Linked DNA regions of Oryctolagus cuniculus. The protein of the gene in region 1 binds, or shares a complex with, the protein of each later gene. Links are inferred from orthologs where the notes say so. Each region holds a gene or a part of one and is shown in the gene's direction. Other genes may lie near its edges.

Region 1 (4,810 bases):
CTCTGGGGCTCGGCCTCCTTAGCCCGGCCCCTCCTTCCTGGCTGGGCCCTGGGGCGGTGAGCTGGGCCCACAGAGGTGCTGGGTGGGCTGGGTGGCCTCCACCACTGACACAGCCCCTGCGTGCTGTGTGGGCGGCGGCGGCAGCTGTGTGTGCTTGGGGGGGCAGAGCTGGGTGGAGCTAAGGGAACAGGCAAGACAGCCCCCCCAGTCTGGGTCAGAATCCGCTCCCCGTCCCCCGCCCCTTCAGGGCCGGGAAGTGTTCCTGGCGGGGCAGGGCCTTCCCGTTGCACACCGGGAAAGGAAAGGACACTGGAAGAATTTCCCCTGGAGGTGCCGAGGAGGGTGAGCTGGCGCGGGGCGGGGCAGGGCAGCTGACCCCAAGGCCCCTGCTTGAAGCCCTTAGAGGTTTCAATTCATCTGATGGCCCTCTGCTTCACTTTTGTTCCTTTGCCCCAGGGAGGGAAGTGAGGCCCAGAGCAGGTGAGTAACCAGCCCAAGGACACACAGCCAGTAGACAGGGGGACCTGGCTGTGAACCTGGGCCGTCTGGCTCCAGAGTGCGCTCCACTGGCCAGAGGTGGGGTCAGGGGAGCCAGGCCCCGCCCTCTCACCCCCTCCCCCAGAATGCTGATGGGGCCAGAGTGACTGCTCAGATGGCTGGGGGCGTGGAGTGAGGTGGTGCAGCGTCCCTGTGTCCATCTAGTGACGGGGCGCTCACTCCCTGTTCTCGCCTCCTGTGTTCTCAAGGGCCAGTCCAGGGGGCTGATGCAAGGCCTTGCTTCCAGGAACAGTGGCTCACATCTCAGGGCAGGGGGCCAGAGAGGCCCCTGAGTTCCAGCCAACCCCCCCACCCCGCCTGCTGGGGGACATCAGGAAGTCTCTGGTCCTCTGCCTCGACCTAGACACCAGGAAATGGGGACCTGAGGCCAGAGGCAGGGGTCACAGCCAGGGGGCTGCCTGGAAGAGGTGGCACTGGACTGAGGATCGGCGGGGCCGGCCACAGGGGCTGGCAGGGCCTCGTCCCCTGGCCCCAGGTGCTGGTCTGAGGTGGTGGGGGCGGTTGCAGAAGGAATCAAGATGCTTACGGGAGACACAAGCGAAACCCTGGCTACCACAGCCTGAGCCACAGCGGCCCCTCCCCAGAGCGCTTTCATGTCACCTCCTCGGGGGTCCCGGGATGCCACCAGGCCATTGCCCTCTCTGGTTGCACTGATGAAGTCCCAGCAATTGGGATTCCTCAGGGAGGGACACTGGGGCCCGGCTCTTACTTGAGGGCCAGGTTGGCTCGAGGGAGACCTGGTTCAGGAAAGGAGGTCACGAGCTCCTGCCTGGAGCTCCTTTCTCTCTAATGCTGTGTACTTCAAAAGTCACCTCTCCCTGGAAGCCCTCCTTGATTTCTCCGGAACTCATGTGTCACAGGGGGTGCCAGGCTTTCCTTCATCTGGTTTTGTGGCAGATGATTGCATCTGTCACTGTGGTCAGACGCGGCTTCTCACAGGATGGGGATGGCTGCCTGGGTCTGTCGGCACAACTCAGTCACTGGGCCAGCTGGTGGGAGGGCCTGGCATCTGTGAGTGCCAGGCACTGCAGTCCTGACCTAGGAGGGAAAATCCCTGGCCTCTGATGAGTCATTTGACCCCTTGGGCCTCAGGTTCTCCATCTGTGAAATGGACCCACAGTTGTGTCCACATTGAAGGAGTGAGAACCAATGCTGCTGCAGGGGCGGAGTGGCTCGGCGCAGAGGCTGGCGGGTGGCAGGCACTCAGCTCAGCTGGTGGAGGCTGAGCGCAGGGGGCCCCTCAAAGCTGAGGTCGCTGTGGGAGGAGCTGAGCCCCCAGTCGGCCACGGCCTGCTGTGCTCCGGGCCCTGGCAACTGCCTCCCCCTGGCGGCCATGACGGGAAGTGACCTTTCCCTCTAGCCCCTGCAGAGGGCTCCATGGACACGCTGGCCCTTCATTGCCTGCCCCTGTCCACCCCTCCAGCCTGTGTCGGCAGGGATGGACCGGGAGCTCCCTGGCGGGCTGACAGAGGGGTCCTGGCCGAGGCGGGATCCAAGGGAGGCTGGGAGTGACTCTGAGGGAGTTGGGGCGGGCTTCCTGGAGAGGGTGTCGCACTCTGAGCTAGGTCTCGGGAGGGGGCGAGGGGTGGTTCCAGGGGGAACGGTCGGCGCCCAGTTCCAGATAGGGTCACGGTCTCTTCTGGGCCCAGAAACACTTGCTGGGTTTGGGGTGACTTCCACGGGGCTGTGGAGTCGCGACAGGTGACGCTGGGACTCGGGCACTCTCACCTGTCGGTGCTCAGCCTCTGGCGGCTCTGGGGAGTCTGGGCTGTTTCTACACGAGTGCCCGGCCCGCCCCAGCCTCGGGTCTCACGTCCGCGCCGCGCCTCCCTCCCTCACCGCAGGGCTGAGCCGCAGGCTCCCAGCTAACGCTGCTCCTGCTCTGTTCCAGGCCGGGACCGCCAGGCGCGAAGATGGCTGCCCAGGTGCCGCTGTGGAAGGCGCTGTTCGTGCTGAGTGTGCTCTGTCTGGTTCAAGGTCTGCCTTCCCATGGTGCCCCGGGGCCGCTGTGGTGACTTAGGCTAAGATGCCCCCATGTCTAGGATGCCCCTTGAATCCCACCACCGGCCAGCACAGATGCTAACCTGCTGGCCAGGCCCAGGCCTGCAGGCACAGCTCAGCCAGAGGGCGGCACCTTGGAGAAAAGAAGGCGCCTCTTCCCTCCTTTTCTCTGGCAGGTGCAGCCCCACAATGCACAGCAACACCAGTTTCGGCCATGCTTGCCTCTGGAGTGAGCGTCCTTGTGCAGTGCACAGCCTGTACCACTGTCTAAGGTGGCCGTGGCTTCATTAAATACTTCGTTGCTATTAAAAATTCTGCCTTTAAAGTCATTCATTCCCAGTTTGCTCATTTCCTCTCCCATCTCGAAGCCAGCGAGTCTTGAGCAGGATGGAGGCTCACGGTTTTGTAGACCCTGTGAGGTGTAGGCCCTCGTGGTGTGCGAGGCCCAGGCCCAGGGCCCGTGCCCTCCCGCCAGGCCCCACCTGCCGCTTCTGCCTCCTCAGGTGCCCACGGCGGGGGCCCCCGGGAGGACTTCCGCTTCTGCGGCCAGCGGAACCAGACGCACAGGAGCCACCTGCATTACGAGCAGACCCGGGAGCTGCACATCTCCATCAGGAACTCGGAGGAGGCCCTCACCATCCACGCCCCCTTCCCGGCATACCCCGATGCCTCTCGGCCCTTCCCCCCACCCCGGGGCCTCTACCACTTCTGCCTCTACTGGAACCGGCACAACGGCAGTCTGCACCTGCGCTACGGCAGACAGGACTACCCGCTGAGCCGCGAGGCCTCGGGCCTCCTCTGCTTCCGGCACCAGGAGACAAGCCCGGGCCCGGGCCCCCCGCTGCTCGCCACCTCCGTCAGGTCGTGGTGGGACCCCCAGAATGCCAGCTTGCCCAGGGCTGCCACCTTTACCTTCAGGTTCCATGGTGAGCAGCTCGGGCCCAGGCAGTGGGGAGCCGCTGGGGGTGGGAGTGGGGGTGGGGGGGTGTGACCCAAGGTGTGCTTCAGGAGGCCCTGGGGTAAGGGTGGAGGGGCTCCAAGCCCACCTGGAGGCCCCCAGGGGAAGAGGCAGGGAGAGCGAAAGGTGGGACTGTGTGGCGTTGGTCCTGGGAAGTCGCCATCAGCCTCTGCCAGGACGGTTTATCCCCATTCCACAGAGGAGCAAACTGAGGCCCAGGAGGTGGCCCAGAGTTGCCCAGCTGGCTGACGGAGGAGCGGGGATTTGAACCCAGCGGCTGGTTGGCGTGGGGAGGGGCAGGAGGGGAGTGAGAGAGGCTAAAAGGCAGGAAAGCAGGCTGGGGTTCTGGGATTCCTGGAACCTGCAGGAGGCTGGGCTCGCCGTGTGCAGCCAGGGGGTGCAGGGCAGGCAGGGCCCACCCGCCCCACTGGGGCTTCTGTCAGCCAGGGACCCCTCTGGCTGGCCTCACCGCTGACCCTGGGGGTGTGTCTGTTTTTGCTTCTCGCAGCCTCAGTTTCCCCTCCTGTAGAGAGGGGAGAGAGGACACTGGGGGTCAGGCGAGGATTAAGTAGAAGCGGAGTGGGTCGGGGGCCTGTGCCGCCCTGGCCCGGCTCACGTGTGTCCATGCTCTCCCCAGACCCTCCCCAGAAAGCCTCCCACAATGCCTCGGGGGACATGTGTGAGCTGAAACGGGACCTGCAGCTGCTCAGCCAGCTCCTCAGGCATCCCCAGAAGGCGGCCCGGAGGCCCTCGTCCAGCCTCGCCCATAGGTGAGCACACGCGTGCACACACATATACCCCTGTAGGCACGTGCACACACACTTGTGCACACACACATACCCCATAGGCATGAGCACACACATGCATGCACACACATACCCCCGTAGGACGTGCACACACACGTATGCACACACACACGCACTGTAGGCATGTGCACACACACGCATGTACACACACATACCCCATAGGACGTGCACACAGACACATGTGCACAGCCCGGAGCTGTGGGGGGCAAGGGGCGGGGGCTGAAGATCTGAGCTGGGCAGTGGGAGGCAGGCGAAGGCCTCCCTGGGGCTGGGGCAGGGGCTGGGACGTCCAGCGGCCGCCTTTCCACTTCCTCCCTCGGGAGTCGGGATCCAGCCCGCGGGCCGAGCCCCTCACCTGTGTGTGGGAGGGGCTTGCTGCCCAGGCTCTGAGACAGACAGCCTCAGGCGGTCATCTTTGCGTGGACGTCCAGTCCTCCTGCGAGCTAAGACGCTGTGGAGTCCCACGCGATGCGACTGTAGGGACACA
Region 2 (5,575 bases), on another chromosome or scaffold:
GAGGGGCGCGCTCTCATTCCACTTCCTGCCCCCCACTGGGTGCCTTGTGCATCTCTGTGGTGCCTCCCAGCGCGAGCCGGGCAGGGGAGAAGCGTGGGCGCGCACCGGGCCTGCTCCGGAGGGCGTCCTGAGGCTCCACGGAGCCCCGCATCCCAGCTGGACGAGCCCCCTCTTCTCGGCCGCCAGTGAGCGTTTTCTCCGCGGGAGAGGGCTGGGGGCTCTGGGGGCCGCCCCCACTGCGTGTGTCGAGATGAGCCACCCGGATGTGGTCCTTTGGGCTGTGAACACCGCGTATGGCCTGAGCCGTTAGCAGCTCCCCGTGGAGCCTCTGCCCTGCACACAGCCGGCCCCGTGTTCCAGGCCCCACTGGTCCTCCTCCGGCCGCCGTCATGTATGGCCCAGGAAGTCAGGGCAGGCAGGGGGGAGTGCGTGGTCCTGGGGGCACGGGGGTCTCCCAGCCACAGACAGCTCACAGAAGCCAGCGGCAGCCTGAGGAAACTGAGGCAGCCTCCCCAGAGCAGGGAGGTGGCCGAGCAAAGCAGCCAGGCTGCGGTGACCAGTCCTGCCCCCTACCTGGTGCCCCGCCCCCTGCCGATGCTCCGCCTCCGTGCCTGGTTCCCAGCCCCTGTCTGATGCCCTGCTCACTGCCTAGTGCCCCGCCCCTGCCTGATGCCCCGCCCCCTGCCTGGCGCCCCGCCCTCAGCACACGCAGCCCCACCTTCCCTGGGCAGGGTACCCCCGGGGGCTGCGGGAACAGGGGTTCCCAGCCCAGCCACGGCCCCTGGGCGAGCCCCTCCCCTCTTCTCACACAGCCCACCTGGGGGTTTGTCCGCGGGGTCCTGGAACCGGAAGGAAGTTCTCTCAGGCCCGGCCAACTTCCGGTGGCGCCCACCTGTCCCAGAATCACAGTGACACGTGCCCTGTCCTCACTGCCCTGGGCCCCCAGCACACATGAGGTCAAGGGCATGGGACACCCACCAGGCCCCTGAGGTGTCCCCCACCAGCCTACGGAGCCGGGGTTCCACTGTCGGCAGCCACCGGGCCCAGCTACACCCCCAGGCCACCCCACCCCACCGTGACCAAAACGGAGCACCAGCCCATCTGGGCGTCAGGCTCTCATCCCTGCTCGGCTCCGTCGGCCACTGCAGCCTCACCCATCTACCTGCAAGGCTCCTCTCCCCTGTCAGCCCCTCCCCCCATCAAGCATCCCGGCCTGGGCTCCTGGGTGGGGCAGCACCTGTCTCAGGCCCTCCAGGGGAGGGGTCCTGGCTGCCCCCCCAGCCAGCACCTGGCCCAGCTCCTGCCACACAAAGGGGCCAGGAAATGTGAGACGCGTGACCAAGCCAAGGACAGGACAGGACAGGGCGGCCGGGTGACCGGCCTCGGACCGAGGGCTCCGCCTGGCAGGAAGCGTTCCTGGCACCGGGGACAGCGGGGAGCTCACCAGACGCCGGCTCTTCTGGCCCCTCCCACCCACAAAGGCCTCTCGGAGACCAGACGTCCAGCGGGACCTTGTGCCTGCAGCTCACACGTTGGCGTGGGACACAACCACGAGCACCCACCGGCCAGCAGGAAAACCATGGGAGGAGTCAGCCCGGGGAGGACACACCCACGCAGACAGCCCCCAGCCACCATCTGCACGGGGCAGGGGCAGGACTCAGACCGGCCCCACCTGGGTCCGGGCGAGCGCCTGCCCAGGACGCAGCCTCGGGTGCACGTGGGCCTGCATGACCTGCTTGGGGCCGATGAGGAGGGGCCGATGAGGGGCCAGCGCTGGCTGGGGCCTGGGGCCTGGGAGAAAGCACCCCTCGCTGTCCCATCAGTCCCCACTGCCTCACCAGACCCCAGCTGCGAGGGCAGGGCCGGGGAGTGGCAGGGCGGGTGGGTGCGAGCTGCCACGGTGGCTCCCGCGCTGGTCGCGCTGGTCTGGGGCCCAGCTGGTGACCTTTGCCGAGGCTGCTGGGGGCGGCAGCAACGGCTTTCCCTAGCACAGGAACTGGCTGCCGAGAATTCGGGTCCAGACCTTCAGGCCCACCCCTGGTCTGCCCTGGACAGCAAGAGGAGCAGAGCTCCGGTGCGTGCAGAGCCATCCGCCACTGCATCACCTCCACCGGGAGCCCTCGGGGATTACGACAGGCGCCTGAGCAGGGGGAAGGGGAGGTCTTGCTCCCAGACACGTGCTGCATGCCCACGCTCGGGGGACACTCGCCCGGCCAGCGGCTGGGGACGCGACGGTCTCGGGTGACCGGACCCAGGAAGCCGCAGCGCCCTCCTCCCACCCTCACCCCGCCCCCTCTCCCACCCGGCTCTGTCCCGCGGCCGGGGCTCCGGGCGCCGGGGGCGGGGCCGGGCCGGGGGCGGGGCCGCGCTGTCCTATAAGCGGCGCGGAGGGGGCGCGCGCCCGGCCAGAGAGCGAGCGCGCACAGCGGCGGCGGCGGCGGCGGCGACCCCTCCGTGCTACCGGCCAGGCCTCCCGCGCCCCGCGCCCCGCGCGTCCCGCTCGCCGCGCTCCGAGCCCGGGGCTCGCCGGCCCCCGCCGCCCTCCAGGCCCCGCGCCCGGCCCGGCCCCGCGCCCCGGCCCGCCCGCCGCCCAGGCCCGGCCCGCGCCCGCAGGCCGCCCGCCGCCCGCGCCGCCATGGGGGTGGAAGGCTGCACCAAGTGCATCAAGTACCTGCTGTTCGTCTTCAATTTCGTCTTCTGGGTGAGCAGCGGGGCGGGGGGCGGGGCGCGGCCCGCCGAGGGCAGGCGCGCAGGCCGCGCGCTAGGCCCCGCGGAGGGGGCGCGGGCGGCCGTCGAGTTGCGGAGCCACCTGTGGGCTCCGGGCGCGGGTGGGGGGCGTCCAGGGCCGCCGAAGCCCCTGGCGGCGGGCCCGGCGGCGGGGACCTCTGCGTGTCGGGGCCCAGCCCCGCGGCCCGGCGGAGCGTCTGGGTAGGGGGCGCGGGGCTCTGTCCGCTCTGTGCCCGGGACAGGTCGGCGCGCGTGGCCCGGAGCCGCGTCCCCAGCCGCAGTGCCCGGGACCACCCGGCGTGGCGCGGGCGGAGGGGCTTGCCCCGCCCCCATGAGCTCATCGGGGCCACCGCCCCGGAATGGGCCGCGAGGGGAGGGGGCGCACGCTCTGGGCCGGCGCCTGGGGCCCTTCTTCCGCGCCGCGCCCTGAGGGCAAGTCGCCCTCTGGTCCCTGGGGGCAGCGCACCGGGGTTCCTGGGGGCCCAGCGCCCCTCTTCGCTGGCGCTGCGCGTCCGGTCCCGCCTGGCCCCGGGGGGCTGTGGACGCTCGGGGCGGGGAGGGCCCGCGTTGGGGCGGAGGGCGGCACGGGTGCGGGCTGGGGCTCCCCGCTCTGCAGGGAGGGGTCGGCGCGGGCTGGTCCTGGGGGAACTTTCTTGGCTGCCGGGGAGGCGGCCCGTGATGTTTTCGCCTTTTGTTTCCATTTCCTGTCGGCCCTGGAATTGGGGGTGGGGGGTGGAGAGGCCGAGCGCGGTGGGGGGGGGCCAGACGGCCGGCCCCTGCCCCTGCCCCTGCCCCTGCCCCCCGGGTCTGGCCCTTCCTGCAGGGCACTGGGCGCCGTCCTGGCAGGCTCCGCACTCCCCAAGTTGAGGCAGGAGGGTCAACTTTTAGCGCGGGCCCCGGGACATCTGCTTCGCATCTGGACAGCTGCCGGGCCAGCGAGGACCTCGGGCAGGGAGAACAGAGACAGGGCTGCCGGCTCCGGGGACACTGCGCTCCCGCGTGGGGTGGCGGTGAGGCCATCTGGCCGGCCCAGCCTGGCCCTGGGGCCTTGGCCAAAGAGGAGGTGGCATCTGTGTGGGTCAGTGTTTGCCTGCCAGGGCCCAGACGCGTAGGAGGTGACGGGCACAGGGGGCGTCCCTCTGCTGGCCCGGGGAGGGGGGTGACGGGATGGGGGCGGGGCCTCCTCCTGGAGATGTTTGTGCCTTGGGCTGTGCAGCAGTGCCAGCAGCTGGGAGATCTCCGGGGGCGCGCCCCCCAGGGAGCTGGGCCGCTTCCCGGTTGGTGGAGGCTGGAGCACACCCCCCGGGGCGCTGGTTCCGAGGCCCCTCCCGCCCGGCCTGTCCCGGGGGCCCCCACCGGCCTGTCCCCGGGGCCCCCACCCGGCTCCCTGCACTGCAGAGCCCCCTCTGAGCGGGGTCTTCGTGGACTTCCTGGTGGCTGGCAGGCTGCTCGTGTGAGTGAGGGGCTTGGCGCAGGGACGGCTCCGGAAAAGGAGGCTGGGCATGGCAGCCGCCGTGAAGCTCGGCCAAGGAGAGCCGGGCCGGGCCTGGCCCAGGAGGAAATGCCTGGGCGCGGGGGTGCCCGCCCCACGGGGCCTGTTGTGGATGGAGGGCCCTGGGGGCTTGCGGGGGTGTGGCGGGACAGGTGGGCACTGCACGTCTGGATGGGCGCTTTGTAAGATGTTTATTGGGAAGTCAAAGAGGCAGAGAGAGACGCCCGTCCTCTGATTCGCTCCTCAGACGCCTGCAGGGGTCACGCCAGGCTGAAGCTGGGGAAGCCCAGTCCAGGGCCCCGCACCTGCTGCCCTCCCAGGGTGCAGCTCGGCAGGCAGCTGGAGCCGGCTCTCAACCCAGGGCTCCCACATGGGCTGCGGGCGCCCCGGGCGGCATTGTCAGCCTTGTGCCAGGTGCCGGCCCCTGCGTGGGGCACTTTTTAAAAGTCCCATTTCAGGAGCCGCCTCGAGGGGGGAGGCAGCCGTGGGAGCCTGGCAGCCCCGGGGAGGAAGGTGTCCCACAGGTGCTCGTCTTCCTCCCATCGCTGGCCATGTGCAGTGAGGCGTCCTGGCCAGCGAGGTCGTGGGCTCCCCGGCGGCCCGAGCAGAGAGCACCGTGCGGATGCCCTTGGGCTGGGTCCCGGAGCTCCTGGGATGGGGCAGGGGTGCGTAGAGCTGGCCTGCACGGCAGGTGTGACGGTGGCCAGGTGTCCTGAGAGGTACAGCCGGTGGCTGCCTTCCAGTGGCAGATGAAGCCCTGGGAACAGGCGCTCGATTTACTTCTGCCAGATGGCACGTGACCGTCCGTCACCCCGCCAGCGCATCTGCTCCCTGCCTCGGACGGCGACCCCAGCAGGCTGTGTCGGGGGGACTCGGCACGGGGGCGACTGGACTCCCCCAGTGCCCCCACACCGACCCCACGCCGGGGAGACAGCCATTCGGCCCGGCCTGCAGAGGAGAGAGTGCATGGTTGCGCCTGCGTTGGGTCCTCAGCCGGGGAGGGCGGCAGGGCCCTGGGTACCACGGCAGGTGGCCCAGAGCCCTGCCCTCATGCTTTGCTGAGCCTGCTGGGCCTTCTCCTGGCTTTGCCACCGTGTGCGGGTCGCTGGGCAGACCCCAGCCCCGTTTCTGCTCCGAAACGCCATCCCAGGGGAGAGCTTTGGTGGTGAAATCAATAAGGCATAGAGTCCAGGCACCGTGGGAGGGGCGCCCTCGCCCAAGCGGCTGATTCGGGGAGGACCCTGGGTGGGGGCAGGCAGGTGGCCCTTGCTCCGGCCCTGACCCCTGTGCCCCGGCCAGTGAGCGGTGAGGACCGGGTGATCTTCAGCCCCGGACACCCACCTCTTCTGCCCCCAG

The links.
Region 2: ADGRG1 (region 1) and CD81 share a complex: the UniProt entries of both Homo sapiens proteins name them as parts of the GPCR-tetraspanin complex. The link is inferred for Oryctolagus cuniculus from reciprocal best matches to the Homo sapiens genes ADGRG1 and CD81.

What each region holds. Positions count from the first base shown.
Region 1 is NC_091449.1:41,137,477-41,142,286, forward strand, and holds part of ADGRG1 (adhesion G-protein coupled receptor G1), read left to right. Parts: intron 1-2,449; coding exon 2,450-2,535; intron 2,536-3,062; coding exon 3,063-3,485; intron 3,486-4,154; coding exon 4,155-4,287; intron 4,288-4,810. UniProt on the Homo sapiens protein: Adhesion G-protein coupled receptor (aGPCR) for steroid hormone 17alpha-hydroxypregnenolone (17-OH), which is involved in cell adhesion and cell-cell interactions.
Region 2 is NC_091432.1:1,172,160-1,177,734, reverse strand, and holds the start of CD81 (CD81 antigen), read left to right. Parts: upstream 1-2,408; 5' UTR 2,409-2,635; coding exon 2,636-2,701; intron 2,702-3,920; exon of another isoform or gene 3,921-4,180; intron 4,181-5,575. UniProt on the Homo sapiens protein: Structural component of specialized membrane microdomains known as tetraspanin-enriched microdomains (TERMs), which act as platforms for receptor clustering and signaling.